Linked DNA regions of Tribolium castaneum. The protein of the gene in region 2 interacts with the protein of the main gene of each other region in a pairwise test. Links are inferred from orthologs where the notes say so. Each region holds a gene or a part of one and is shown on either strand. Other genes may lie near its edges.

Evidence for each region.
Region 1: the proteins of CycC (region 2) and ND-24 interact in binary tests that used the Homo sapiens proteins (3 or more experiments, as listed by UniProt). The link is inferred for Tribolium castaneum from reciprocal best matches to the Homo sapiens genes CCNC and NDUFV2.

What each region holds. Positions count from the first base shown.
Region 1 is NC_087394.1:22,608,539-22,612,086, forward strand, and holds ND-24 (NADH dehydrogenase [ubiquinone] flavoprotein 2, mitochondrial), read right to left. Parts: upstream 2,233-3,548; 5' UTR 2,112-2,232; coding exon 2,076-2,111; intron 1,998-2,075; coding exon 1,869-1,997; intron 1,226-1,868; coding exon 830-1,225; intron 782-829; coding exon 705-781; intron 656-704; coding exon 562-655; 3' UTR 517-561; downstream 1-516. Other genes in the region: chromobox protein homolog 1, read right to left, coding at 1-17, 139-339; Ced-12 (engulfment and cell motility protein 1), read left to right, coding at 2,481-3,548.
Region 2 is NC_087394.1:8,425,929-8,430,154, forward strand, and holds the start of CycC (cyclin-C), read right to left. Parts: upstream 2,806-4,226; 5' UTR 2,677-2,805; coding exon 2,645-2,676; intron 2,594-2,644; coding exon 2,487-2,593; intron 2,438-2,486; coding exon 2,231-2,437; intron 391-2,230; coding exon 1-390. Other genes in the region: leucine-rich repeat-containing protein 1, read left to right, coding at 3,161-3,663. UniProt on the Homo sapiens protein: Component of the Mediator complex, a coactivator involved in regulated gene transcription of nearly all RNA polymerase II-dependent genes.

The sequences.
Region 1 (3,548 bases), about 14 Mb from region 2:
TCCAAGACTTGCTCAACCTGAGAGACAATCAATCAAATCAAATAACATGGTCGGTATGAGCAAAACAATATGGTGGATGGCCATCTTCGCCGAACACAGCTCAAGAAAAAGGCGCCAAGAAATTTTTACATAACTCACCTCATATTGCGGTTCCTCTTCCGATTCATCTTCCACTTTCTTCGAAGAACTTTTACGTTTGTTAGACTTGCGTTTTTTTTCCTCCGGTTCGGATTCGTGCTCGTCCCGATCCGAAGCGTCACCGTTTTGGTCTTTCTGGTCACTCACGCCGTTGGCGGTTTCCGTCTCGGACTTTTTGCTTTTCCGTCCTTTACGTTTCATTTCTGCGACACGAAAATTTAAATTTGTTGTGAAAGAATTTGTTTATCTTTTATAAAAGACGCCACGGGAGCGATTATCGTGCTACAGTGTGACCAACTGTAACACCAACCTAATAAAAAACACACTAATTGTTCCAAATGTCACTATAATTCAAAAGATGGCCACAAGGGCGCTAGCACCAATTCAACTATTTTTATTCATTTTATTTTACATAAATACAAATTATAGATCGGAACGGACCCCGAAGCCTGGACCTGGGGGCTCACCGGCGAGACAGGTTGGCTCGCCAATTGGCTCAGCAGCAAAACGGCCATTCCTATTAATTAATTAGTTACTTTTCTATCACCAAGGCATGAAATATTTACCTGGGGCCAGGTTTTGGTTTTTTATTATTTTTCAAATCGTTCAAAATCTCTTCCGTATCTTTGGCCGTCAAATCCTCCTAGAATCAATTTTTTCGTTTTTTTTTATGTGACTCGATACAACTTACATAATAATCATCATTAACTTGAATCATGGGGGCATTCACGCACGCCCCGAGACACTCAACTTCAGAAAGTGTAAACATGCCATCGCTCGAAGTTTCCCCAACTTCCAACTTCAAATTACACTTGATTGTGTCTAAAATCTCGTCAGAGCCTCTCAGCCAACACGGCGTTGTTGTACAAACTTGGATATGGTACTTTCCTGTCGGTTTACGCATAAACATTGTGTAGAACGTCGCAACTTCGTACACTCTCATCCTTGGCAGGTTTAAAATTTCAGCAACTTTGTGCATAGCTGAAATAGGGAGCCAACCGTGTTGTCTTTGCGCCAAGTCAAGAAGGGGGATCATCGCGGCTCGTTTATGTCCCTCAGGGTAAATTGCAAGAATGGCATCAGCTCTCTACAAAAAAAATATTCAAGCTTTTCAAGTATACAAGGTGTCTAAAAACTGGCGAATTCCAAGTTCAGAGCGTTGTAGAGAATTACTTCAGTAGTCCAAATATAGAAAAAAATTAAGTTTCGGGGCTTCCCCACAAAGATATGTAGGTTTGAATTGCGTTTTCTTCAAATGCAGGCTAAAAGTTTTAGTGTTTATTGTTATTTATAGTGTAAATGATTGTCGAGAATAATAATGTAAAACAATTTCTTATAAAATTAAGTAAAAAAATTATAAATTTTTGTATTTGCCGTTTTATTTTTAAGAAAACTTTCAAAAATTAAAAAAAATTGCTCCGAAATAAAGCTATTTTTTCGAAAAATTGTTTAACATTATTATTCTCCACAATCATCTGCACCATAATTAAGAATAAAGAATAATTTATTAAGAATAATTAATTAATGAATTGAGAATAACTGAAATTTTTTAGCCTGCATTTGAAGAAACCCAATACAGAGTGCACTTGAATTGCATCTTTAAATAAATGTATCTCTATTTGAAAACCCCGAATTTTTATTTTGTTTCTATATTTGAGCTACTTTAATAATTCTCTTAAGCGCTCTAAATTCGAAATTTCCCAATTTTGAGACACCCTGTAGGTACATACCTTCTTGTTTTCGGGGGTGAAATCAAAAGGGATATCGGGGTTGTCTTCAGGAGTGTCTCTATGATTGAAAACTGCTTCATGTTGGAGGGTTGAAGCAGTTTGAAGGGAACGGACCCCCAAAGTTCGGCGCTAAAATGTTAGGTTATGTTATGTAACAATATTGACGGAAGCAATAGAAATTTTAATTAAAATAGCCGTGACAATTACCAAACAGCTCCCGACGGTCTTTATTGTTGTCAACATCGTCACAATTTGTGAAAAACCGAGAAAATTCGAAATTATTATTGTGACTTGACAGCTGACTTTGCCCACTGTCGCCAACCCAACAAAAATACTTGTTATGATATCATTGAAGAAATTCTATTTAATAACATTAGTTGGAATTGGTTTTAAATTTAGAAAAATCCATTATTTTAACAAAGAGATTTTTTACAAAATTGCATAATTTTATAATTTTTTTGTCAAATGTTGTTTGTTGGATTGTGTTGGCGTTCCTGCTGATAGGCGTGTCATCCCGTTTCCTGTCATTCTTGTCAAAATGTTGTATTTATGAAAAATACCCTGTAACGCAAAACTCGCGTAATAATGTTTTGAATCTCAAGTGCGCACAAAATGCCCGCAATGAAGGACTCGTACATCGTAAAAATCGCGGTCGAAATGACCGACCAAGTGCCACAACTCATCGAATTCAATCAGAAGCAGCCCCTCGCCGGCATAATCCAAGAACTGTGCAACGGATGGAATCTCAGCGACCCCGAACAGTACGCCCTTCAATTCAACGATAACAACAACCGTAACTACATAACGGAGAAGAATCGCAACGAAATTAAGAACGGTTCGGTGCTCCGTCTCCAATACTCACCTTCGAAGACAGCTCAGGACATTCTCCACAAACTGCACAACGGAAATGCCGAAGAGAAAGCACACGCAATGCACCGTCTCTCAAACCTAAGCGCCGACATGACGTTCGCTTTGGATTTCATCAACAAGCAAGGACTTACTTTAATAATTAAGCAAATCGAGACGGGTAAGTTCAAGGGGGCTGTTCTGGCCCACACTTTACTCTCCTTCGTCGAACTGATGGAACACGGGATCGTGTCGTGGGACATCCTCAACGGGGATTTTATAACTCGCGTTGCGAGTTTTGTTAACTCGCCCCAGGAAGCCGAAGTCACTCAAGCCGCTCTCTCAATCTTGGAAAACGTCGTTTTGAATAGTACTGAAGGCTACGGCCAGGTGGAACGTGAGATACCTATTGGTTCGCTGGTGGGGCACCTCCAGGCCACACCGGTCGTCCAACAAAACGCTATAGCTTTAATCAACGCGTTACTTCTACGGGCTGATTCAGTCAAACGCAGGTCTTTGGCAGCCACTCTCACAACGAAGCAGGTGCGGAGCATGATTCAGAATCATATTTTACAAACGGGGGCTGCCTTAGGGGCTGAGATGGCCCACCAGTTGTACGTTCTACAGACTTTGATGTTGGGGCTGCTTGAACAGAGGATGGTCACGAAGATGGATCCGCAAGATCAGGATGGCCATGATAAGATCAAGGAGCTGCGAAGGATTGCCTTTGATAGTGAAGGGGCGGGGGGTGGGCGAGGGCCGGGTGGTTTCACACGGGACTACAAAAAATTGGGCTTCAAAAATGATATTAATCCGGCGCTGGATTTCACCGAG
Region 2 (4,226 bases):
CGTCGTAAGTCTTCCACAGCTCGAATAAATTAATAACGTATCTTGCAATTTCTTGAATTCGTTCTATGTCCACGTTCAGTTCGGCAAACCAAGCCTTGTGGTCCTTTTGCAAGATGACACAAGCTATTTGAAGACAGCCAATTGCAATTTGATATGGTGGATAAAGCAAACACACATCAGTCCTAAGAGAATCGTTCACTATCCTCCAGGCGAGAGTCAAAAGTTGATCTTCTTGACCCATGTCTTGCACTAGTTGTAAGAGAGGTCTATAAGGCTGATAGACGATCAAGCAACAGTCGAGGTTTTCTAACAAGTAGAATTCACACTCTAGGATGTGGTTCGTACGATATGGAAATTCCTGACTATAGGCGTAACTAAACTTATTTTTAACTGAAAATAGATTGTTTAAAAAAGCTAGTTTTAACTTAGCCTCCTTCGATCTTAGACGGCTTTGAAATTATTAACGACAGAATATAATATTAATTTTTGGATTTTTAAACTGTAATTAATTAAATAACCGCGAGAGGTCGCCCTGTTGAGTGGTATGTTCTGAATACGGAGGACTATAAGTTAGGAGACCAAAAATAGTACGGCAGAGTAAAACTGAGGGCGCTACGAGCGTTATACCGTCTTGTCGCCAAATCGTTTTAAATTAATTTAAAACCAACCAATTCATTAATAACGTGGAAAAAATGTAGAAATGTTTTGCACTCTTAACAGACTAAGAAAGACTGACGACTACAAGTTTCATGACAAACATGAGAATTTTTTTATTTAATTTGTGCTTTAAGAAGACGCTGCGAATACAATTAAAGATACAGAAAAATGTTAGGAAGAAATTTGTAGAGAATTAAACTGACCTGCTAAACAAAAACCTTGTAACTACTTTTACGTATTTTTAAGTTATTTCGTGATTCTTAAATTTTCTTTAAATCGCACCTTTATGTTATATGCTTTTGAACTTTAATGAAAAAAATTAAATTGATACGCAATTTTATAGACATCTTTTTAGAGCGCTATTTTTCAATTTAAAACAATTGAAATAAAAAAATTGCTGAAGTTACTAAGCAAAAAAGTCGTAACTACAAAAAAACATTTATTAGAGAAAATTGAACACTTGAAAGCTAGATATTAGCATATAAATTAACGAAGAACAACCAATGCTTATAAATACAGTGGCGCTAATAAGTATTAATACAACTCATTTTTTTATTAAATGTGTTCTCTTTCAATTATTATTAACTTTTACTTATTTTTTGGTAAAAGTTGAGGCGGCAACGAGCTATCTTTAGATAAAGACAAGATTTACAAAGCTGACCAATTTTTTTAGTGCGATATTTTTTTTACATAATAAATTAAATTAAATTAATAAATAATTAAAAATATTAAATTTGACTTTTGGGTTCACCAATGAGACTAGCTAGTCTTAATATTCCCAGAACAAATGGAAATTTTTTTTAAACAAATAATTCGATGAATAAATTTACTTTCAGGCATATACCAAATTTCAATTAATTTTGAACATTTAAAATTTTAATTCAGTATTGTCAACAGACAGTATTTCTGGATCAGTCAATTAATAATAAACAATACTTCATTAAATAGACATTTTTAATTTTAGTTTTGGAGCAATTTATCTCAAAAAATTAAACGATTGTCCGGTAATATATTTTTAATCTTTTCAAGAGTTTCTGTTTATAAAATTTGATCCCTAAGTTCAAAAAAATTCGACGTGACTTATTTATCCAATTTTTGTCCCTCGAATAAAAATAGTATATACTTATTTATATCTGTAACCGTATTCGCAGCGTTTTGAAAATTATGGGACAGAGTGCAAATTGGTAAAAGTTTGAAATTTTTTTAAATATAGTTTATGATAAAATTTTTGCATTATGTTTATGTCCTACTATTGAGAATTTAATGCTCTATTTGCCTGTATTTTTTTTGTTTGCTGTGTGTTAACCGTTATACAAATACAACCATTTTTTCAAATTTATTGCTCTGAAAACCTTGGTAATGGAACAACAGCGTTCTCTGGCGGCATTAACGGAAATATCAAGGACAGGAACGTTTTATTTGTACGTCGTACCATATCCTAACTTTTAGATATCCGTAGTTCCGAAGTTGGATGCTTTTCGGTAATTTTTTTAACAAAAACTTGGGAAAATTATATCTGGTAACTTTTAGACCAGCCATCTAAGACCATCACGGAGACTGTGACTTAACTTACTGACTGTCTGACACGTTGTAATTAACCTAGAATTGGAAATCACCCCAAATTCTTCTACTTTGGAGGCTAGAAAAATGCAAGTGGGGGCTAACAATAACGGATCGATGCACTTAAGTGAGTTTTTTGCATAAAACCTCTTAAAATAAACCGTTGCGGTTGCTATAACTTGCTGGCGTAGCTTCAACTGTTCGCCTAGTGTTTGAATGACTGAAAAAATAAATTAAGAGAGTTGATAATAACCTAATATAAATAATACCGCTAGCAAAAAATATAAATATTTTTTGGTACTCCTCCTCCGTGAGGAGTTGGAGATCATGTTGGCGCTCCCTAATTAAATCTTGTTTGTCCAAAAGCCACTGCTGGCTGGAAAAAATTCATTTGTGATTTTGGGGCCGTTTTCATATCGTAACTTACTGGTGTGAGCTTTGCCAAAAATTTCCAGCCATTGCACAAACTAATCTGAGTTGAATTAAATCACAGGCAATAACTTTAAGCTTCCAGTCAATTATTAATTAACACAAAAGCAAAAGAAACCGGTCAAAGAAACTCAGTCAAGTGACAAGTGTCAACCAATGGAACTACTGTGGTGTTTTTTAACCTACGACCTCTTTTATTAAAACTGTAGACCTTAGAATACTAAAATTAAGTACAAACGAACGCTAATTTTTCAGTTTTGTTATTTATTTTATTTATTGTTTGTTTCGTTCGAACCATATGATACGAAAATGTTTGGTTGATTTGAACTACTTCAAATGTCAAAGCGCCACTTGTGACAACAAACAAATTATTGTTTGTGTGTTTTTTTGTGTTGGGAATGGTGTAGGGGCTCGGGCCCCCAGTTTTCTTTTTTGGATTCTTATTTATTCAAAAATGTGTGCTTGTGTACAAGTTGTGTAAATAATCAGTGAGTTTGTGCGACATAACCTCTAAATGCTTCCAAAAATGAATCCAGTGTACGATTACATTCAGCGAAACCGGGTTTTGGCAAAAATAGAAAAAGCTCATGGAACTAAAGCAACGAATTTAGCGCTAGATGATTACGACCTTGTCAAATTTCCCCCCTTGTTGGTGAGCTGTGTCCACCTCTCATATCTAAACATTGGTCATAATCAAATCACTGAACTGCCCAAGTGTCTCGGACAGCTCAAGAATTTGCAAAATTTGTCTCTGGAGTACAATAACTTCGATCGTTTCCCTGAAGTACTCAAGGATTTGCCTCAGTTGATTACTCTAAACATAAGCCATAATCCGATTAAAGACTTGACTAGAGATATTGGAAATTTAACTTCGTTAGAAACATTATGGTGTAACCGTTGCTATCTGGAGTCTTTACCTGAAGAAATTGGTAATTTAACAAAGTTGGAAACCTTGGGGGCTCGGCATAACCTGTTAACAAAGTTACCAGATGGAATCTGTAATTTAGTGCAACTGAGGTAAGTATGACACTTACCCAAAAATTAAAGAATTTTAGTTTTCGAAAAATCGACAAATTATTTTTACTTTATTCCACTCTCTTGTGAAACAAGGTCGAATTTTATCAACGAAAAAGTAGTACGAGGCGAAGCCGAGTGTGTTAATGCTTTTGGTTGGATAAAATCGTATTTTATCCACTGTCTACTTTATGGTAAAACGGAATTTTGTCGCCTAGAAAAATATAGTTCGCAACTATTGTTGTTTTTAAAGTATTTTTTATTGTTAAATTTCTTAATGTTTATAATTGTTAATCAAAATAACTCAGTAATTCGAAATAATCGAAAAAAATGGAGGAGAAATAAAATTTTGTATTTTACACGATAAAATGCACCATTATCTTCTCAAAACCTTCTCATAGTTAAAATCAGATTTTATCGTCTTGTATAATAAATAACTATTATTCTCGTGAGATTAATTACTTATCTACTAGCGCCTACTGTGTAAACTTTCTAAAAAAACAGATACAATTAAATATTATATAATTTCATGATGCCTATTAATAAAAAAAAATCCACATAAAAGC